3 linked regions of the Macaca fascicularis genome follow. The main gene of each other region encodes a partner of the protein of the gene in region 3 in a complex. Links are inferred from orthologs where the notes say so. Each region holds a gene or a part of one and is shown on either strand. Other genes may lie near its edges.

Evidence for each region. Proteins that work in one complex are often made in the same cells at the same time.
Region 1: NUP98 (region 3) and CETN3 share a complex: the UniProt entries of both Homo sapiens proteins name them as parts of the nuclear pore complex. The link is inferred for Macaca fascicularis from reciprocal best matches to the Homo sapiens genes NUP98 and CETN3.
Region 2: NUP98 (region 3) and NUP160 share a complex: the UniProt entries of both Homo sapiens proteins name them as parts of the nuclear pore complex. The link is inferred for Macaca fascicularis from reciprocal best matches to the Homo sapiens genes NUP98 and NUP160.

What each region holds. Positions count from the first base shown.
Region 1 is NC_088380.1:94,402,874-94,410,919, reverse strand, and holds the start of CETN3 (centrin-3), read left to right. Parts: upstream 1-2,506; 5' UTR 2,507-2,632; coding exon 2,633-2,649; intron 2,650-4,472; coding exon 4,473-4,608; intron 4,609-6,515; coding exon 6,516-6,630; intron 6,631-8,046. UniProt on the Homo sapiens protein: Plays a fundamental role in microtubule-organizing center structure and function. As a component of the TREX-2 complex, involved in the export of mRNAs to the cytoplasm through the nuclear pores.
Region 2 is NC_088388.1:17,982,304-17,990,402, forward strand, and holds the start of NUP160 (nuclear pore complex protein Nup160), read left to right. Parts: upstream 1-2,559; 5' UTR 2,560-2,688; coding exon 2,689-2,890; intron 2,891-3,149; coding exon 3,150-3,261; intron 3,262-8,099. UniProt on the Homo sapiens protein: Functions as a component of the nuclear pore complex (NPC). Involved in poly(A)+ RNA transport.
Region 3 is NC_088388.1:70,593,914-70,600,936, reverse strand, and holds the end of NUP98 (nuclear pore complex protein Nup98-Nup96), read right to left. Parts: intron 6,920-7,023; coding exon 6,765-6,919; intron 3,808-6,764; coding exon 3,696-3,807; intron 3,569-3,695; coding exon 3,351-3,568; 3' UTR 2,205-3,350; downstream 1-2,204. UniProt on the Homo sapiens protein: Plays a role in the nuclear pore complex (NPC) assembly and/or maintenance. NUP98 and NUP96 are involved in the bidirectional transport across the NPC. May anchor NUP153 and TPR to the NPC.

The sequences.
Region 1 (8,046 bases), on a different chromosome or scaffold from region 3:
GACTCCTGTGAAGCAAGAAGTGGTTGTCACTAGTTCTCACTAAATATAATAAAAGTGATCCGTGTAAATTCCCTGTCACTCTTAAAAGGATACCCTATTGAAAACATGTTAAAATCTGTTTGCCCAAATTATTTGCTTATAAAACTCACTCTGAGACCAAAAGCATCTCACAAAATTCTAGTGTTTCAGGAATGAGGTTTGAGAAACACTGGTGTTTAAGTATTTTGCCGATCATATTTTAAAAAGTATTTTCTAAACCCACTTTATATCCTAGTAGAAAAAGTGTTGCCTATTATTCAGTGCCCTTTTGACACTGAGATGATTTCCTTAACACTATATTTAACACAGATTTATATTTTGAATTATCTTTGCACTTAACAAAAACAACAAAAAACTCAATTTGGTTATAGAGAAATGCCCCTTTAAGACAGTATCAAACTGATTTTGCTAACATCTAGGAATTTTGCACTTAAATTCACAAATGAACATCAAATATGAGTCAGGCACTGGGGATACAATGGTGAGCAACATGTATAGCCTTCATCATCACTAAGCTTACACTGAGTGACTTTAAATGTTCTTTTAGGATGTTAAATATTATGGCAGCTTCAAAAATTAAGCTAAGAAGCTCTCCATCATTTTCTATTACTTGAGTTTAAAGCACAAGATTTAGCTCTTAGGATTTTTACCCATAAATCTGAGTGGGCTGGAGGCTTTTTATTTGAGGGTACAGAAATTTGGCATCTTTTTTTCAGTCCTGTCTGTAGTTATTGACTTAATTCAGTTTTCCATCTTTTTTGAGTTATGTTTTCCTTGAAAAGTGACTATTTCATTTTCTATTAATATTTATTGGCAGTATAAAATTGTATAAAATATTTTAATAATTTTTAAACCTCCCTTTTGTTAAATTACTAACCTTACTAGTGGCACTATTCCTTTTCTTGTTACATTTCCTGTCTTTGAATTTCACTGGTATTGCCAAAAAGCAGCTTTATACCAGACTATGAGCACTTTATCAATTTGACCAGTTTCCTTTTAAAACGTTGTTCTCAAACTTTACTAATTTCCTCTTCCTAATTTCAATTATACAATTTTGTTCTTCATTTCTAACATCTTCAAATAAATGCCTGGTCTATTTTTATTATTTCTTATTTAAAATAATGTTCTCCTATAGTTTGGTCTGTGTCTTAAAATGTTAACATATAGTTTTTTTCAATATCACTATGTTCTAGTAATTACAATTTCTCTTTCCTTTTAGACTCAAAGGTGATTTATAAAGGTACTTTAAAATTTAAAATACGAACAAAATAAAAGTTCCGCTTTTGTTTTTTAGGGGTGCTATCCCTTAGCTAATTTTTAGCTTGTTCTATCATACTATCTTTACTTGTGCAAATTTAGCCCATCCTTGTAGGTCTAACGTTTATGCCACCTCTTTAGGAAGCCTATCTTGTGCTCTCTCCCTTCTCTAAAATTTTATATACATCCCTTAAACATATGTTTACATATTCTCCGCCTTCAACTCCCATTCTCAGGCTATTTTATTCCCGTTTATGAGATTTGCTGTTTAGCTCAGTATTTTGTGGGTTTTCAAAAGATTCCACTCAATTTACCGAGCACCTATGCACCAGACATTTTATTAGGTACAAGGAAAAGCGTTAAATAGATATAATCACGGCCTTCAAGAAATTGAACCTGGTAAGGGAGACGAATAAGTAGACATTCAAGTGAGCTTTAGGAGACTTGGTTTGGTAGTGAATACAGTCTCACGTGTATTAACAATTTACAGCACCGTAAAATAAGAGACAGAAGCCAACAAATCCGTTTCAAACAGTTCAAAGGAGGAAAAGGAGAGGGAAGGGCGGTTTAGATACAGCATCACCATAAATAGCCTGATAATCTAACCCTGTGATAATCCAAGTATAGTCACAGCACCTGCCTCAGAATCACTTGGAAGGCTTGTGAGGAATACAAACGCAGATTCATACCTACTGAAATTAGAATGGAGAAAGGGGCATTTAAGTCTGCATTTTAAACACATTCCCCAGGTACTGAAGCCATCCAAAGTTTTAGAACAGAGCACAGCCACGCTTCGCAGACCTTGTTCCTCAACTACTGCCTCCTTCTAGCCGGAGGGTGGCCTGCAGCGTGTCCCTTCCCTTCCCACCGTCCAAGTTATCCATCTAGTTTTCGAACGTCGGCCCACAGACCGCAGGACAATACGCGAGAGACTAGGAGCACCCACCACGCAAACCACCACACAGGGATCGGAGGCCGGACCCGCAAAGGATTCGGGGAAAAAGGCATCAGGCCAATCCGAAGGGCGAGAGCGGCCCTAGGAATGGAGGGGCGGGGTGGGTGGCGGGGGGGGGGGGGGGCGGGGAGAGAGAGGTTTTTTTTTTTTCTTGATTGACGTAAAGCGTACCCAATGAAAATAAAATTGGTAAAGCTTCCGCCATAATGGGCAGAACCATAGCGACATTTCAACCAATCCAGCTCAAAAGTGTCTATGTTGTGGGAGGTCCCTGAGGCCGCTGAGGTCGTTCGTGTCTGTTGAACGGTTGTGGGAGTCTTGCTGCTTTGGGTAGGGGGTTAAAATCGTTTCTTGAGAGGAACGACTCTATCCGAAGAGATAATGAGTTTAGCTCTGAGGTCGGTAATAAGGAGGCGGCAGTGCTCTCCACACCCCGGAGCGGGACCTAGGGAGGGTGTGTGTGGAAGGGAGGCCGTTTGGGGCCGTGGCGAGGCAGGGGATGCTGTTTGGGATGCGGGAAAGGAGCCTAGGGCAGCCTGTCTGGATCACTCACCCTCTGGGCTCTGGTGCCCTGCAGGGAACGAGACTTCCAGTGCATTTCTACTAAGGAGGTTATTTCTGTCAGCGCGTAGGGCTTTGGACTACCAAAAAAATGGGCTTAGTTGCGAGCGAGGGGGAGGGAATGAAATATCGCGAGGCTTCTACTCTGTTGCTCTGAGAGATCAGGCCGCGGAACATCCCTTCATTCAATTCGTATGCCTGGCCAGGGCCCCACCTCCGCTGCTCTGCTGCTGATGCAATCATCCACCTATAAATTTTGGAAATAACAAAAAACTCTTTGCTATTCTCCCAAGGTCCTGCTTTACGGTGTAATTAGAAACCCATTTTAGTGACTAATTGGCAAACTGTCTCTTGGATTTCCTGTTTCTTTCATTTCTTTACCTTTCAGTTCTAACCTCTAACCCTCTGTCTGTTACCCGCTCCCCCTACGTAGACGTTGTACCGTAAAACTATACATATACTTAGGACACTCTAAAAATGTTCCATGTTCTGCTAAGGGATAATCATGGTACCCTTGGATGGGGTCAGGGGTGGGTCGGTTCTGGACTTGGCCTCTAAAAGTCTCAGGAAGGAAAAGACTGACCCCAGGAATACCCAAGTTTGTGTCAAGTCAGGTCTCATGAAAGGAAGATCTTCCTCAGCTTTGTCATACTGCATCTACTGGTCACTTCCTAGCCTTTTTTTTTTTTTTTTTGTAGCGTTCAGAGACCAAAACGACTTTCAAATGCAGCTAGATACGTGTTTTAAATACAGTCAACTGGTTTTGACATGTTAATGTGTTACCAGATTGTGTGTTTCAAAACTTGTTCTTATACCAGTGTTGCGGCTCCATTGGAAAACTTGGAGCACATTTAGATGGGCAGCTCTTACGGAAAACATTTCTGGCTTTAAAGTAATTTTTGCTTTTTTCTTTAAGCGTTTCCAGAGTTTATGAGAAGTTTAACCTCCAGTTTACATCTTAAGTGAGATAAGACTTATGAAGCACAAATATTGTATACTTTTTTGACATCTAATATTTGTCATATGTTTAGACTCATTAATATTTTGGGTGATTTGTTAATATCAGTGGAGGAAATGACACATAAATTGCCAAACTGTTAGAAACGTGTAATCTAAAAACATTTTGAACCAACAGTCCCAAAATATAAGTTAATCCAGTTGTATTTTTTGTAGTAATTTTATGAACTTAATTATCAGAACTATCAAAAGTAAACCGATATATGGTGATTGTCAGTTACGAATTTTGGTTTCATTTGGAGATTTTTTGGTTTCTTTAACATTCTTGTAGAATAATGTGAGTGTTTTTGTTTTTTTTTTGGTTGGAGTTGGTTGGAGTTTCAGACATAAACGTAATGTTGCTTATTCACAGTTCTTGAATAAATAAAAAGTTAGGGAAAGTGGGAATAAATAAAAAGCTGGGAAAAGGAAAAGTTTGGTCCTCATTTCTTTTAATAATCTGTAACACTCTTTAGTTTTGGGAAGTTCATATTTATAGCAATTTAGACTATGGAATAAACAGGGCATTGACTCATAAAGGGAAAGTTTCCCTGTCTTTCTCCAAAGTACTTTCTTTTTTGAAATTTAGAAAATAATTATTGGCTAATTTCTGTTAGTAAAGAGAATTAAAGTGGACTAAGGGCTTTTTCTTTCCATTTCATAGAAGTGAGCTTGTAGTAGACAAAACAAAGAGGAAAAAAAGAAGAGAACTGTCTGAGGAACAGAAACAAGAAATTAAAGATGCTTTTGAACTATTTGATACAGACAAAGATGAAGCAATAGATTATCATGAATTAAAGGTAATGGTATACTTTAAAATACTTGTTTCTGTGTTAAAATGATTTGCATTTTGACAGTTGCTTTACATTACATTTCTAAGTAATTATTTTAACTAAATTGGTTTTGGAACTATGAAGGCATTTTAAGCATTCATAGTTAGATTCTATAATAATACTGAATAGAACTCCTAACACAGTTTTTAGAAAATCTTTTTCACGTGATAAAACGAATAGCATTTTAAATGTAACAATACATTCCTAGGGAAGGTGCTTATTTTTCACTGACATAATTAAAGGATTTCAAACTGGAATTTAAACTATTACCATATTCTTTTCACTGTTTTTTTTGTTTTTGTTTTTGTTTCTTGGTGACTCATACTGTTTTCAGATTGTGGGATTGTTGTCTTTTAATCTTATAATTTGTATTTGTTAGTAACATAGTCTCAATCCACTTTCTGTGGTACAGACAACTTCAGTGCTGTTTGATGTTGACACATGCTAGTAGGTAAAAATGTCAACTTTAAGACCTAGAATGTCAAGGTGTAGAGAGGGATTTGTAAATTATTATTTGTCAGGGTATAAGGAGAGATTTGGGTTTAGGGTTGAGTGGGACTTACTTTCAGCACAGTGGGAAAGATAGTATTTTGAGATTTTTAATAGCCTTAATGGATAGGTGAATGTAAGTGTTTATTTGATAGTTTTAATTTTTGTAATTTCTTAAGGGATTTTTAAGCATTAGAATTCCAAGTAGGGATACGAACTATGCAGTGACAGTATAGAATGTATAAAAACAATTAATAGGCCTGTAAGTCTAGCTTTCTCAATCTTGCAGTCCTCTTTAGCTCTCTTTTCCCACTGTTTTTTGTTTTTGTTTTTTGGTTTTGGTTACCCAGATTTGATCAATTCTTCCTTTATAGTGTCTCTTCCATTAGTAACCATTGACTGGTTTCAGACCTTATTTCATACCTGGAGCTTCCTAAATGGTTTGTCTACTTGTAGTTCACCTTGTATACTACTACCACTGAATTTAGATAGTTTAAAAAATCTTTCACCATTGCTTATAAATTGTTCGTTGCTCATAAGCCTTTACTATTAATAACTCCTCATTATATACTACTTAAAGTTCAGATTCCTTTGCTTTCTACTGAATGTTCTCTACACTTTTGCCACCAACTACTTTTTTCATTTGCTAACTGCTTTCTTCCTCCCAAACTCTTCTAATTCACGTGGAATTCACCTTCTAATCCAGGTGAGCAGTTTATCTCACCTGAACTCTTCTAATTCAGGTGAGGTAAACTGCTCTGTTCGTTGTCCTTCAAACCTATTGTTCATTTCAGTGTTTCTTTTAATACTAGTCATCCTTCCCAAATGCCCTACTGCTCCTCTTCATCTGTCCTTCAAGGAACAACTTGAATCTTTCCAAATAAGACTTACCTAGTCAGTAACATGTTTCCTTCCTTGTTACTAGTAACAAAGTCTCTTTTTTGTCTAAACTCAGGGTCCTTCGCCCTATTATTAACCTAATAACTAATCATGGAGATGCTGATGATAATTCTTATTTTAATGTTTTATCTCTTCTATCATATAACTTTAATATTTATGCTATGCCTTTTTCTCATTTTGGTTGTTATTCCCGTGATAACAAATAGCAGTCAAATTATCTGTGCAGTAAGTTAGTGCATTTTATATAGTAAACACTTGTTGGTTACTTTGTCATATAAAAATGCAATTTATAAATGAAAAAACTTATACATAATTTCAGTAGTGAAGAACAATTACACTGTCACTACTATTTTAAAGAGGTAAAACATGCAAAAAAGTTATATTTTACTAATGTGTTTTTATCTCTTAAGATGTAAAAACTTAATAATTAGAAATTCTTTTGTAAAGATTGCTTTATAATTTGCTTTTCCCTTTTAATCCAAAAGGTGGCAATGAGAGCCTTGGGGTTTGATGTAAAAAAAGCTGATGTACTGAAGATTCTTAAAGATTATGACAGAGAAGCCACAGGGAAAATCACCTTTGAAGATTTTAATGAAGTTGGTGTGTATTTTAATAGTCTTTGTAATCAGCAGCTGTTAGGAAATTGTCTGATTAATATGACTTTTTAAATTTTAAATTCTCTAGGTTATGGAATTTTCTTATAGAACACTGGTGTATAATGTGACTCTTACTCAGTTTTGTTTGGGTTATTTTACTTTTTTCATTTTCAAAGAAAAAATATGGCTTTGCTCTGAGATTTATAGTTTTGTCTTTTGTTTTGTTGTGAAGATTCTAGCCAAGGAACTACTGTGTAGCTTTTTATGGAAAGATGCTTTTCCAAGTTATTTGTATTTATATTATGTGATAAAACTTGAAGGGTGATCAAAAAATTATTTTTGCTCAGTAAAACAGAAAATTTGATATCCTGCTGTTTGGAAAATGTTTCCCAAGACCTTTCTGGTATGTGATTTTTGCTGGCTAAGTGGGAGAAGAGGGAACTGGTAGTAGTTGGTATCTTTGGCCCTAGATGAAATGCGTGACTTCAGGTTGACAAAGTTTATGAGAGGCTACATCCTCTGGATGACCTTGATCTTAGTGGATAAAGTCATCTGTTTAGAGGGTAGTAGTAAAGGAGGCAGTGGGCATACTGCAAGCAGGAGAAAACATCCTGGTACCACCAACTGAAGATAATGTGTCATAGGCTTAATATGGCTAAATTTTTGTGTAGTTGATTTTAGTGAATTATTTATAGCATACATAGAGCAGGCTTTTTCAAAATAGAAGAGTCTGGAAGGCAAGGGCGTTACTATTGTCTAGGATATTACCTACAAAATATATAAATATTCAGGTTTATTTCTATTTTTTTCCCCCTAAACCAATGGGTCACGATATAAGCACATCATATAAGTATTTTAAGATATTTGGAAACAAATTCTGTTATATACACAAACCCCTTCTTTTAAATATTCATCAAGAAGCAATATGGGAAGCAAAAAGAAATGGCAATTAGTATACGCAGAGAAAATTTAGATTCATGTCATTAGTTTTTTGAATCCAAACGCTCAAGTCAAAAGCAGTTGAGATGGAAAATAAATGATAAACCTAAAAGAAAAAATACAGCACAGAAGATACTCAACTTACGAACTAATATATGACTGTTTAGAGAGGCAACTTGTCTGTTGGGGACATTTTCCTTTTTTTCCTCTAATTTGTAGAATTTTTTATTTGAGGAGAAGGAGAGAGCCACCTTTTGTTCTCCCAGAATGGACACTCTCCTGAAGTTTATAATCGTAGTATTCCTAGTTTTACCTTAGATTGTTTATTTGTAGAAACAAGATGTTAGGATACAGTGGAAATGATACTATTAGGAAGGAGCTATAATCCAGGTATGTTTAGTACAGTATAGTGGTTTAGCACTTGGAACCAGATTCTGTTGGTTCATACCTTGGTTTTGCCACTTTATAGCTCTGGAACTTG
Region 2 (8,099 bases), about 53 Mb from region 3:
AGCACTTTGGGAGGCCGAGGCAGGTGGATCACTTGAGGTAAGGAGTTCGAGACCAGCCTGACCAACACGGTGAAACCCTGTCTCTACTAAAAATACAAAAAAATTACCCAGGCTGGGTAGCAAATGCCTGTAATCCCAGCTACTTGGGAGGCTGAGGCAGGAGAATTGCTTGAACCCAGGAGGCAGAGGTTGCAGTGAGCCGAGATCTTGCCATTGCACTCCAGCCTGGGCGACAAGAGCAAAACTCCATCTCAATAAATAAATAAATATATAAATAAAAATAAGAGAATGAGCAAGAAGGAATTAGAACACTCGAGTTTTGCTGTGGGTGAGAGGAGAAGAGATACGGAGTAGTAGCTGCAGAGAGTGGAGGTCGAGCGAATGTTTGTATGCTTAGTACATACAGTACTAAGTAAAAAGGGAGAAAAATTGAAAATGGAAATAATTTAATCGCTGGAATGATGTCCTTGAGCAGCTGTTCTACGGAAGTAGAAAGGTTGTCTCAGCATAAGCTCAGAGACAGTTTAATTTATAGTAACAGGAAGGGAAGGCAAAATATGTGGCTACAGATGGTGGTAGGTGGGGAGATGTCATTGTAGAGGAAGTCCTCCCTTCCTCCTTCCTTCTTTTCAGATGGGTCTCTTTCTGGCCATGCTGGAGCGCAGTGGCAGGATTGTAGCTCACTGTATCCTCCAACTCCTGGGTTCAAGAAATCTTCCTATAGCTGGGACTACAGAGGGACACCACTATGCCTGGCTAATTAAAAAAAAAAAAAAATTATTGGAGATGGGGGTGTGTTGCCCAGGCTTGTTTTGAACTCCTGGCCTCAAGCCATCCTTCCATCTCAGCCTCTGATTGCTTTAATTTTCTAAATGAAGCAGCAAGTGGAGAGTCAGGATGATGACGGAGGCAGTGGAGGTTTCGGGAGTTACGAAACACTCATTTAGAACAGTAAATGGAGAAAGCAAATACCATGTGTTTGCCAGGCAGCAAGATGGGTCCACTCAAGGTACATGGTCCTGATGGAGTTAGAGGGAAGCATGTCAGTATGGGTGTATAGTTTTCTGTCTTCTTTCTTTTTTTTTGAGATGGAGTTTAGCTGTTGTTGCCCAGGCTGGAGTGTAACCGCGCGATCTCGGCTCACTGCAACCTCCACCTCCCAGGTTCAAGCGGTTCTCCTGCCTCAGCTTCCCAAGCAGCTGGGATTACATGCACGCACCATCATGCCCCCGCTAATTTTTCTTTTTCTTTTTTTTTTTTTTTTTGGAGACTGAGTCTTGCTCTGTCACCCAGGCTGGAGTGCAGTGGCGCGATCTAGGCTCACTGCAACCTCTGCCTCCCGGGTTCAAGTGATTCTCCTGCCTCAGCCTCCCGAGTAGCTGGGATTACAGGCGTGCATTACCATGCCCGGCTAATTTTTTGTATCTCACTGTTTCACCATGTTGGCCAGGCGGGTCTGGAACTCCTTACCTCGTGATCTGCCCACCTCGGCCTCCCAGAGTGCTAGGATTACAGGCGTGAGCCACTGCGCCCGGCTAATTTTTCTGTTTTTCGTAGAGGCCGGGTTTCACCATGTTGGCCAGGCTGGTCTTGAACTCCTGACCTCAAGTGATCCTCAAGTCTTGGACTCCCAAAGTGCTGGGATTACAGGCGTGAGCCACCACACCCGACCTTGGTGTATAGTTTTCTTCAGGCACGTTCAGCTACAGATTTGAATGTAATCGAAGTTGTTTTTACTGATGAAGAGTTAGGCAATGAAGTAATTTAATGGTATTCAGGATAAGGAAGAAACACCAAAGAAGTGAGGGACAGTGAAGAGCTTGTATAACAATGGATTTCAGGTAGAATGAGGGGGCTGCACTGCCAAAGTTGGTGTCCCAGAGGGAGTGAAGTGGAAAGATAGGAAATGATGGTCGGAACCAGATAAATGAAACGGAGAATGACAGGGAATGGCTGTGGTCACTGGTAATAGAAGTGACCAACAAGCGTTGGCTATCACTAAGGAACAAAACCTTCCCTGCTGGAGATTAGCATTTTCCCCGATTTTGAACATCTACCCCCACAATATCTTCTAAACATCCACTATGGGCCCTTATTGCATTGACAGCCAAGTGCAAGATCACGGTTGGAATGAATGGCAAATTCTTTTCACGTATCCAAGTGAGTAGCACTCAGGTAACCTCAGCAGGTGGCAGCATCAAGGTTTACCACATTACGTTTCATTATACAGGAATACACGAATACAGTCTCTTGGGGGGAAAAAAGACCAAAACCAAAGGCCCTTCCCTCACTACCCCTTCCTCACCCCGCCAACCCAAGTGCCACTGAAGAGCGAAGGGAGGATCGGCAAAGATTTACAGACGGACACCCTAACCGAGGGAGAGGTGACCAAACACCCGGGATCCGGCAGAGGACGCCCAAAGGCCGGACCTCCCCGGACCTCGCCCCTCCTGGGAGACTGAGCCCCGCGTTTTGGAAACAGAAACAAACCCGGTCCCGCCCCCTGCCCTGCGGCCGCTGAGAAAAGGGCACCGCCCTCCGGAGGCGTTCCAGCCGGCCACTCGAAGATTCCAGCAGATACAGTCGGCCTCCCCTGCCCGCTTCTCTTCTGGATTCCCCGCTGCCCATCCTCATTCTCCCGGTGGAAGCCCCGCAACGAAGGACCGGAGCCCCCTTTCTGCTCCCGGGATGCTTCACCCGTCCGCAGCTCCGCCCGCCCCGCCCCCGGAAGTGACGGCGGCCGCGCGGCCCTGCCTTTGTCCCGTCGGGCATCGCGGCGACGGCGGGAAGATGGCGGCGGCGGGATCCCTGGAACGAAGCTTCGTGGAGCTAAGCGGGGCTGAGCGCGAAAGGCCGAGGCACTTTCGGGAATTCACAGTCTGCAGCATTGGTACGGAAGTGGCCAGGGAGGGCGCGATCCGATCTGTCCCCTCGGGCTCCTCTCATGGGTCCTAGGGTCTCTGACTGCTGGGTTCATCCTCCTGAGTCCACATGCCTCCAGCCCCGGGATCAGAGATTCCTTGATGTCCGACGTTTTCCTCTTTTCTTTGTATGGGTTGTCAGTCTGTCACCCTCTGCTTTATCAGGTCCCTTAGTCCCTGTCATTTCTCAGAAGACGCGTGTGCAGGCTGACCACGTTCATTTTGCAGGGACCGCAAATGCCGTGGCTGGCGCCGTAAAATACAGTGAGAGCGCGGGAGGCTTTTACTATGTGGAGAGTGGCAAGTTGTTCTCCGTAACCAGAAACAGGTTCATTCATTGGTAAGTGCTGTGGTTCGCCAAACTCCCCTGGAAGGTAGGGTTTGGTGTGTAAATTTTAGTTGCTGTTCCCAAAGTGCTATTCTAGAAGCGGTAATCGACACTTAGGGAAAGAGAAAGTTTTTTTTTTTCAGTTCGTATCAGAGTCGGGAAAACTGAGACACAGTTCTAGAAGAGTTTACCCTCCCCCCCCACCAATACACACACACACACCAAGCAACACCAAAAGCAGAGGGAATGTAGCTTAGGGGTATAAAGCCCATAAGACTAGTTTTAAACATGAACCCATTATGTTTTTATAGTGCTTTACAGCTTCCTTCATTGAACAAATATGTTCGAGCTTCAATATGTCAGGCATTGTGCTAGGTACCAGGACGAAATGAACAAAACTGCCATCTTCATCATGCAAGACGTTGTAGCAATGTCAGAATAGTTGTGGACTCACTTTTCATGGGGAAATTTTGTGGAGGAAAACTTGCCCTAGAGGAAAAATACAGGGGTTACGAGAGGCTAATGAGAGGACCAAATGTTATTAGTGGGGCAGGAAAAGGCTTTCACAGTTACCCTGAGGTCTAAAGGACACGAGGTTAGCCAGGTATGGGGAGTGGACAGAGAGGAGTCCAGCAAGCAGGATCACCATATGCAAAGGTCACAAAGTGGAAAGAATGTGGCAGGTTTGGAACTGACCAAAGATCTGTGTGGCTTAAGTGCAGTGGGTAAAACAGAAAGTAATGTGAGATACTGAGGCTGGAGAGGTAGGCAGGACTCGGACCATGAGGGACCCTTAGGCCATTTTTAAGGATTTTTGGATTTTATCCTAAGTACATTGAGTAATAATGGAATAGGTTTTTAAAGAGTTACTAACATCAAAATTGCATTTTTGGATGGGAACAGTTAACACTGGGGATTCCAAAAGGAGCGGGGGAGCAGAGGTTGGAAAACCTATCAGTTACTGTGTTCACAACTTGGGCGGCAGGATCATTAGAAGCCCAAACCTCATGTAGATAGGAATATATACACAATATACTCATGTAACAAAGCTGCACATGTACCCCTGAATCTAAATTTTTTAAAATGTATTTTTAGAAGATCTCAGTCTACTTTGTGGAAAGTGGATTTGGATTAGATGGGTATAATGCAAAAAAAAGTTTGCTTTTATGATGGCCCAAGTAAGGGTTGCTGGTGGTTCAATTGTGGGAATGAATAGAAATAGAAAAGTAGATGGATTCAAGATACCTTTGGAAGATAGATTCACTAGGACTTGGTGGTGGATTGAATATGGGGTAAGGGATGGTAAAAGAAAAGGAGAGAACAAGGACAGCTCCCTGGTGTCTCATGTGACTAACCAGATGTGAGTGGGGAGGGGTTGCCATTTACAGAGATCCATAGAAGATGGATTTTGGAAAGATATGAATAATTCTGTTGGACATAGTAAATTTGAAGTACCTGGGGAGCAGCCCTTTGGAAATGTCAAGTAGGCATTGAAATTTACAGGTCTAAGGCTCAAAAGAGAGACTTTATGTTAGAGATACAAATTTCATTTAGTTAAATATTTTGGCTGGGCACAGTGGCTCACACCTGTAATCCCAGCACTTTGGGGGGCTGAGGTGGGAGGATCTCTTGAGGCCAGGAGTTCAAGACCCCATTTCTACAATTTTTTTTCTTTTTTCTTTCTGTTTTTTTTTCTTTTCTTTTTGAGAGACAGTCTGGTGGCTCCATTGTCCAGGCTGGAGTGCAGTGGTGCAATCATGGCTCACTGCAGTCTCCGCCTCCTGGGTTCAAGTGACCCTCCCACCTCAGCCTCCCAAGTAGCTGCAATTACAGGTATGCGCCACCATGCCCAGCTGATTTTTCTATTTGTTTTTGTAGAGATGGGGTTTTGCCTGGTTGCCCAGGCTGGTCTTGGACTGCCGAACTCAAGCAGTGCCCCATTCTCGGCCTCCCAACTTGCTGGGATTACAGGCGGAGCCACCATGGCCGGCCTGATTTTTAAAAATTAGCCAGGCGGGGTGGCATGTGCCTTTCATCTTAACCACTCAGGAGGCTGAGGCGGGAGGATCTGATCATGCCACTGCACTCCAGCTTGGGAAACAGGGTAAGACCCCATCTCTTTTATAAAAACAGGAAGAAATAAAGGAAATTTGCTTCCCTAATATATTTCAGTCCATTTTTAGGGAATAGGGATATAGCAGGGAACAAAACAAAGTTCCTACTCTCATGGAGGAAAATAGGCAACAACAACAATAACTAAAAAAACAAAAAACCCAAGTACATGTAGTTTTGTTACAGGAAAAGGGTGCCGATCCAGGCCCCAAGGGAGGGTTCTCAGATCTCACACAAGAAAGAATACAGGGCAAGTCCGCAGTGCAAAGTGAAAGCAAGTTTATTAAGAAAGTAAAGGAGGGCCGGGCGCGGTGGCTCAAGCCTGTAATCCCAGCACTTTGGGAGGCCGAGACGGGCGGATCACGAGGTCAGGAGATCGAGACCATCCTGGCTAACACGGTGAAACCCCGTCTCTACTAAAAAATACAAAAAACTAGCCGGGCGAGGTGGCTGGCGCCTGTAGTGCCAGCTACTCGGGAGGCTGAGGCAGGAGAATAGCGTAAACCCGGGAGGCGGAGCTTGCAGTGAGCTAAGATCCGGCCACTGCACTCCAGTCTGGGCGACAGAGCGAGACTCCGTCTCAAAAAAAAAAAAAAAAAAAAAAAAAGAAAGAAAGTAAAGGAGGCAGGTGTGGTGGCTCACGCCTGTAATCCCAGTACTTTAGGAGGCCGAGGCAGGTGGATCACCTGAGGTCAGGAGTTTGAGAGGTCAGGAGTTTGAGACCAGCCTGACCAACATGGTGAAACCCTGTCTCTACTAAAAATACAAAATTAGCTGGGCGTGGTGGCACATGCCTGTAATCCCAGCTAATTGGGAGGCTGAGGCAGGAGAATAGCTTGAACCAAGGAGGTGGAGGGTGCAGTGAGCTGAGATTGCTCCATTGCACTCCAGCCTGGGCAACAAGAACGAAACTCCATCTCAAAAAAAAAGTAAATAAATAAAAGAATGGCTACTCCATAGACACAGTAGCCCCAAGGGCTGCTGGTTGCCCATTTTTATGGTTATTTCTTGAAGATATACTAAACAGGGATGGATTATTCATGCCTCTACTTTTTAAACCATACAGGGTAACTTCCTGATGTTGCCATGGCATTTGTAAACTGTCATGGCCTTGGTGGGAGTGTAGCAGTGAGGGCAACCATAGGTCACCCTTGTCACCATTTTGGTTTTGATGGGTTTTGGCTTGCTCCTTTATTGCATCCCGTTTTATCAGCAAGATCTTTATGACCTGTATTTTGTGCCGACCTCCTAATCTCATCCTGTGACTTAGAATGCCTTAACTGTCTGGGAATGCATCCCAGTAGGTTTCAGTCTCATGTTACCCAACTCCTATTCAAGATGGAGCTGTTCAGGTTCACTTGCCTCTGACAGTTTGTCAGTTGATAAATGGAATAGGGAAAGGGGAACAGCGTAAGAGGGAATGGAATACCTGTGGCAGTTAATGTTTTATGTAGGGTGGTTGGGCAAAAGCCAGGGGTAAGTTGACATTTGAGCAGAAGAAAGGATACCTGGGGAATGAGTATTTCAGGTGGAGCCCTCCAAGAAAAAGGAATAGTAAGTGCAAAGAACCCTGAAGTAGGAGCTTGTTGTGTTCAAAGAGTGGAAAGGAGCCAGGAGTCTGCGGCTGAGTGAACGGAGGGTAGAATAATAAGAAAGAGATAGCTTAAGGCCAGATCAGGGCTTTGTTGGTTATTTTAAGCTTCAGCTTTTGCTCTGAGTAAGATGAGAAGAAGCTGTGGAAGATTTAAGTAGAGGATGACATGATCTAAGATCTGAGTTTCTAAAGGATTGCTTTGACTGCCGTCTTGAGAATAGAGTGTGGTGGGGGAAAGGGTGGGTGTGGGGAGACCAGTTAGGAGGCTGGTGCCACAATTCAGACATGGTGGCTTAGATCAGGGTGGTAGTGACAGAGGCAGTGAGAAATGTTCTGATCGTGGATATGTTTTCAAGGTGGATTTGTTAGAATTACTATTGCATTGGATGGGGGGTATACAGAAAGAAAAGAGTCAGAGGTGAACCCTAGATTTTTGGCTTGAGCAATTGGAAGTTAGGGAGATGTCATTAATTGAGATGGAAAAAAGCATAGGTGAAGCAGGTACTTTTGTTTGTTTTCTTCAGGTTCAGTGAGTGCAGGAGTTCTGTTTTGGACAGTTGTAATCTGAAATGCCTGTTAGATATCCAAGTGAGTGCTGAGATAGTAGTCAGGAGTTGAGTGAAGTTGGGCTGAAGATACAGATTGTGAAATTGTTGGCATTAGATGGTGCGTAAAGCTGTTCTACTGAATGAGATCACCTAGAAAGTGAGAATAAATTAGGATTTTTCACCTTCTGCACTATTTTTTTTTTTTTTTTTTTTTTGAGACAGAGTCTTGCTGTCACCCAGGCTGGAGTGCTGTGGCCGGATCTCAGCTCACTGCAAGCTCCGCCTCCTGGGTTCCCGCCATTCTCCTGCCTCAGCCTCCCGAGTAGCTGGGACTACAGGCGCCCGCCACCTCGCCCGGCTAGTTTTTTGTATTTTTTAGTAGAGACGGGGTTTCACCGTGTTAGCCAGGATGGTCTCGATCTCCTGACCTTGTGATCCGCCCGTCTCGGCCTCCCAAAGTGCTGGGATTACAGGCTTGAGCCACCGCGCCCGGCCACCTTCTGCACTATTATTGTCAGCTAAGTCTTCATTGAAGGGGGACTGTCCTATATGTGATAGGTCGTTAAACAGCATTCCCGGCCTCTACCCTCTGCCTA
Region 3 (7,023 bases):
AAAAAAAGAAATGAACATTTAAAGCAGAAATTAATAGATTACCATACACAACTCCAGTAAAATTGATTAATAAGTCTAAGGACTGGTTATTTGAATAACAAAAAAATCTGGAACAATTTTCTGGAATTACAAATTAACAAAACTGAGCTAAAGATGAAACATCTAAAAAGAGCAGATACTCTGCAGGCCTTTGCTCAACTATTCCAAAATTTAATTCTCCAGACCTCTGTTAACTTTGATTTTGGAATTATTTCAGGGTTCTGTTGAGAAAATAAGTTAATTTGAATGTTGTAGACTCCACAGATCTATCGAATGTTGAGGTAACTGGTTCCTGTTTTATGTTTTTGAGAACTTTTTTTGAAATTAAAACTTTTTTTTACTATTTCAACGGGATTTGGGGATGTAGAAGATTAAGATTGTTAGGCCAGGCACGGTGGCTCAAGCCTGTAATCCCAGCACTTTGGGAGGCCGAGATGGGCGGATCACGAGGTCAGGAGATCGAGACCATCCTGGCTAACCCGGTGAAACCCCGTCTCTACTAAAAAATACAAAAAACTAGCCGGGCGAGGTGGCGGGCGCCTGTAGTCCCAGTTACTCGGGAGGCTGAGGCAGGAGAATGGCGTGAACCCGGGAGGCGGAGCTTGCAGTGAGCTGAGATCCAGCCACTGCACTCCAGCCTGGGCGACAGAGCGAGACTCCGTCTCAAAAAAAAAAAAAAAAAAAAAAAAAAAAAAAAGATTAAGATTGTTCAGGCCGGGTGCAGTGGCTCACGTCTGTAATCCCAGCACTTTGGGAGGCCGAGGTGGACGGATCACGAGGTCAGGAGATCGAGATCATCCTGGCTAACATAGAGAAACCCCGTCTCTACTAAAAATACAAAAAAAAAAAAAAAAAAAAAAAATTAGCCGGGCGTGGTGGCGGGCACCTGTGGTCCTCGCTACTCGGGAGGCTGAGGCAGGAGAATGGCGTGAACCCGGGAGGTGGAGCTTGCAGTGAGCCAAGATTGCGACACTGCACTCCAGCCTGGAGGACAGATCGAGACTCCGTCTCAAAAAAAAAAAAAAAAAAGGAGATTGTTCATTGTTCATCACCCTTATCTTGAACTGGAAGTTGATATTCTCTTTTATGCAACATGGCTTCTATGATAAACCTTTGATTTAGAACCTTTTTTTCTTGCTCTGTTGCCCAGGCTGGAGTGCAGTGGCACAATCATGGCTCGCTGCAGCCTTCAACTCCTGGGCTCATGCGATCCTCTTGCCATAGCCTCTTGAGTAGCTGGGACTATGCACACACACCACCATGCCCAACTATTTTAGAGAGAGTCTTGTCATGTTACCTGGTGTGGTCTTGAACTCCTGGCCTCAAGCAATCCTCCCACCTTGGTCTCCCAAAGTGGATTACAGGTGTCAGCGAACACTCCTGGCCCACAATTCCTAACACTGCTAAGAGCTAACCATTTCTACAGCATAATCACTTTTTGAAACATTCCTCTGGTAAGGAAACCAGGTCGGAAAGTCCAACTAAGTTCTGTGACCCACTCAGGATCACATATTGAGTCAGTAGTGGAGGGGATTCCAGCTGAGTAACCCTTCTTCTGAGGTGTCTAAGTTAAATGGAAGTTTCAGCCACAGAGCTGACCCACTATGCTTTCTCATCCCTGAATTCCTCAAAGTCTCAGAAGTCTTTGTTCTAATCTTAATGGGTATTTGCTCATATCTTCAGCTTGACAAATCAAAATAAGATCTGGAATAGTACTCATGCTACTCAATTGATTCCTCTTGAAAACAGCCCTGTGTGAAGTAACATCAGGGATCATTATCCCCTTTACAAAAGGGAATCCGACTTAGAAAGGTGAAGCGTCACTCAAGGTTTAAAAACAAAACCACTACAGTAGAAGAGCGAGGAGGCTTTGAATGGTATATTCTATTGGGCAATTTGAGACCTGGAAATCTATATGTATAAATATATGTACAGCAATCAGTATTAATCAATAATCAACTCCCTTGCCCCTAAATCTCCCCTTATAAATCTAGCCTTTGGGCTAATCTATCTCTCAGTTTAGCACCAAATAGTTCTCTCTTTAACCCAAGGCCTGTCTCCATTTAGAAGGCAAATTCAAAAACAGGCTAAATCAAACAAGGCCATCATAAAGATCCTCAGGGCAAGAAGGCTCAAAAATACAAAGGGAAAGCCAATACCAGGAATGCTATAAACATTTTATTTATTTATTTTTTAAGAAAGTAACTTCAGAAAAAGAGGAAAATATCTAGATCATTTATTTATACATATATATATTTTTTAATAAAAACCTTTACATAATCTTCATGCATAAAGACCCAGGTGTGGCCATATTGCCTGAGACAGCCCTAACACCAGCTATCTCATGCCATTACCTGGGGCTCCCTATAGCTGTCAGCAGTGTAGCAAAGGCCCTCTGCCTGCCCCTAACGCCCAACTCCATGCCTGCCTCAGTCATGGTTTGCTTCTGGAAGGGATGATGGAGGGTGGAAAATGCTTTAGAGCTAACATGGGATGAACAGGGAGGGTTACCCAACCTGCCATTTTTAATCCAAACTCTTCAGGCAAATCCAGACAGACTCTCAGCAAGATGACTGAAAACCAGGGACCAAACCAAATTCTGGGAGCTTCCCATAGACATGTCACATATGACCAAGGGCTCCTGCACATAGTAGTAGCAAAGGTATGGTGTTCATGGAACACTAAAGGCAGGAACAAAAGAAGCTCTGAAGATCAATCCCTCCATGGCAGGCATTCACTTCTGCCCTAAGTGTGTCAGAAAGATCCCATTCTGTTTCCTAACTCAGGCCAACCCTCCTCTGCCTCCAAAATTCAGTGTTAACTAACCAATTACTTAAGAGACGGATCCCTCTTCCTTCTGTGGATAGTTCACCTGTTAAGGATCCATTACTACCTGTCTCACTCCTCCTAAGGAGTCCTAGCATAAAAGGGCCAGGGTAGGAGTAGGGTAGCTGGTTGGCATGGAGGGTCACAAGATCCAGAATGGCTAGGGGTGAAAAAGGATTCCCTGGTTCTTTGGGGGATTCTGCCAAAGGAGCTTTATTGACCATTTATTAAAAGGAAAAACACTGGTCTTGAGGATGGTAAAAAGAGAATTGTCTCCTCTTCTGGGTTCCAGAAGCCCTTATGCTATGTTTAGTATTAAGAAAAGCCCTGAACAACTGGAGGATGCTGCTTGTGGCAGCAGGGAAGGAGGGCAGATGCCATAGCCAACCCAGAGAATGGCAAACAGTGCCAATCCAAACAAGGCAGGGAACCTCTGTGTGGTGAGTGTGAACGGGCATGTGAGTGTGATGCAAAGAGTCTGGGGCTCACAGGCTCCCAACAGCGAGTTCTCGCAGATAGGACTGGGTAAGGCTGCGCAGTTCGTCCATGGCATAGTCCTCAGGCATGGGGAGCCGGCCAATGTGGGGAGCCAAGAGGCGCAAAGGGACTCGCTGAGGGTCTGGTGTTGAGTCGGAGGTTCTATCAGGAGCATGATGCAGACTCAGCACCACCCGCAGCAGGTTGGCTACACGTTTGGCCATGTCTAGAGAGAAAAACTAGAGTTAAGCACTGAGCATGGGTCTAGAGAACGGTGGCAGGCACTGAGGGTGGGGTGTAAGATAAAAACAGGAAGCAAGAAGGCAGAAAAAGTGAGGAGATTAGAGGCTTACCTGACTGAGCTAGGCGATCTTTAGCATTGTAACACTGAATCTGCTCTATGCGACTGCACAGTGAAGTCACTTTGATGTGTAACTGCTCCAGGTCATAACCTGAGCAATCCACCTACAAAGAAGCAGAGAAGTCAATTAATCCAAGGGGAGTTCCTATCACTCAACACCACCTATAGACTCTATACAAAACCTTGAAACAACAGTGAGGTGAGGGAGGGGAAAATCCAAGAAGATGACACAGGGTCAAGCCACCACCATCTAGTGGAGGACAAGGCACTAATTATGCAGTAATAAAGAGGAAGGTAACATAGTGTACACAGCCTTGGACTAGGAAAGTCTTGAGATCCCGAACGATACAGCAAGCTTTAATAATACAGCAAGCTTTAATAATACAGCACCAAAAATCAAGATAAACTGGGTTCAGAGAGATGGTATGACTTCTTAAGAGCACACAGGAAGTAAAAAATGCAGCCTGAACCAACATTTAATTTAGGTCCCCTGACTCCAAGTTTATAGCCTTTTCTTTTTTTTTTTTTTTTTTTGAGACGGAGTCTCGCTCTGTCACCCAGGCTGGAGTGCAGTGGCGGGATCTCAGCTCACTGCAAGCTCTGCCTCCCGGGTTCACGCCATTCTCCTGCCTCAGCCTCCCAAGTAGCTGGGACTACAGGCGCCTGCCACCTCGCCCGGCTAAGTTTTTGTATTTTTAGTAGAGACGGGGTTTCACTGTGTTAGCCAGGATGGTCTCGATCTCCTGACCTCGTGATCCGCCCGTCTCGGCCTCCCAAAGTGCTGGGATTACAGGCTTGAGCCACCGCGCCTGGCCTAGCCTTTTCTAAAACACCAAAAAAGCTGGGTGCAGGCAGCAGGAGGATCAAGAGCAAGACAAATTATTTGCTCTCATGAAACTGACAGAAACTAAATAAGAAAACATAAAACAGTAATACATCCTGAAAAATCACAAGCCATGTAGATAATTTAAACAGGTGGATGTTGCAGAGAGAAACTGGATAGCTACTTGAGACTGGAGGTCCAAGAGAGGCTTCTTCAAGGAGGTCATATTTAAGTCGAGACCTGAATTACAAGGAGAGAGCTCAGCTTTCCAGGCAAAGAGAAGACAGCTAAAACTCCCAAAGGTGAGAATTCAAAGGAGATTTACATGGTGACATGTGGGGTAAGGGGGAAAAGCAGAACAAACCAATACTAGAGAGGTTTTATGTAACACAGGCTTTTTTTTTTTTAAAGGGGGGGTCTCGCTATGTTGCTCAGGCTGGTCTCAAGCAACCCTCCTGCCTCAGCCTCCCAAAGTGCTAGGATTACAGTCACGCACCACCACATCCAGCTATGTGCTGGCACATTGATAGTTCTCTTTGCTTAACCCCTATACTTATGAAGCTACAGTAACTGCTGCTTTACTTGTATATATCTCCCCCACGAAATCATTATTTTGGTAAGGGCAGAACACATACTGTTTACTTTTATATTCCCCAAACCCACTACAGTGCTTGGCACACAGTGAGTTCTCCATAATAGTTGTGTGAATTACTCAATATTCAATGAGAAAGTGGTTTCTTCAAGTGATTATTTAGAAATGATGCTCTTGATTCATATGAAAAGTACAGCAAACATTGAATTATGCCTATTATGTGTCAGGCGCTGTACTAGGAGTTGGAACTTTGATGAGGATAATAATAGGTAACAATTATTAAGCATTTAGTAGAGGCTAAGGTCAGGAGTTTGAGACCAGACTGGCCAACATGGTGAAACCCTGTCTCTACTAAAAAAAAAAAAAAAAAAAAGGCTGGGCATGGTGGCACACGCCTGTAGCCTGTAATCCCAGCTACTGGGGAGGCTGAGGCAGAATTGTTTGAAGCTGGGAGATGGACGATGCAGTGAGCTGAGATTGTGCCACTGCCCTCCAGCCTGGGTGACAGAGCAAAACTCTGCCTCAGCCGGGCGCGGTGGCTCAAGCCTGTAATCCCAGCACTTTGGGAGGCCGAGACGGGCGGATCACAAGGTCAGGAGATCGAGACCATCCTGGCTGACACGGTGAAAGCCCGTCTCTACTAAAAAAAAAATACAAAAAACTAGCCGGGCGAGGTGGCAGGCGCCTGTAGTCCCAGCTACTCGGGAGGCTGAGGCAGGAGAATGGCGTGAACCCGGGAGGCGGAGCTTGCAGTGAGCTGAGACCCGGCCACTGCATTCCAGCCTGGGCAGCAAAGTGAGACTCCGTCTCAAAAAAAAAAAACAAAAAAAAAACTCTGCCTCAAAAAAAAAAAAAAAAAAAAAAGCATTTAGTACATGAAAGGTACTACGTTAAACACTTTATGTAGATTTGGTTTAATCTTTGTGAAAATCTGTCAGATATGAGCTGTAATTTGTACTACTGTCTACCCCACTCACCTCTCTCATTCAGATGGAGACAAAGGAGGTAGTTAACTTGTTCAAGATTACATAGCCAGTGAATTTGGAAGCCACAAATCGAATTTGGAAGCCACGCCATTCTCCTGCTTCAGCCTCCTGAGTAGCTGGGACTACAGGTGCCCGCCACCTCGCCCGGCTAGTTTTTTTGTATTTTTTAGTAGAGACGGGGTTTCACTGTGTTAGCCAGGATGGTCTCAATCTCCTGACCTCGTGATCTGCCCGTCTTGGCCTCCCAAAGTGCTGGGATTACAGGCTTGAGCCACCGCGCCCGGTCAGTATTTGCAATTTTAAAACATGCCAAATGATGTGTGAAACAGCAATCCTCACCAAATCTCCATTCTTACTTTATCTTTCATCTTTGGGCTTCTCACTCAAACTAGAGCTGAACAAGGGGAAGGGACTGTCTATGGACAAGTCTCAGGAATGTCTATTGAACATACAAGTTGGTAATCAACATAAAGAAGTGTTTTTAAGTTTCGAAACAGCTCTCAAACGGTTATATCAAATGAGCCTCAGCAAGATGCCTGCTTTGACAGTGCTATCTCTGTCAATGTGTTCTCAAGTGTATACTAAAGCCTTGTGAGGTCTCTAAAGATTTAAGGGCCTGAGAAAAGGAAAATCAGACAGCAGTTTGAGGATCTCAGGTACCTGCTGTATATGGTGGAGCATTTCAATTACTCTAATATAGTCCAGGTAAACAAGCCCAGATGTTTCCCAATCCTGAATGAGGCTGCTGCGCTCTGGAGGCGCCAGGTCTTCCAAGAACCCCTTCAGGTAGTCATAGTTCTCATTAATGATGGCATCTGAAGAAACAAAATATTAAGCACAACGTCTGCACAAGTGCATAGTTTCCAAAAGTACAGAAGACATGGCAGGAACACATAAAGGAAGGAGAAATAATGTTGGC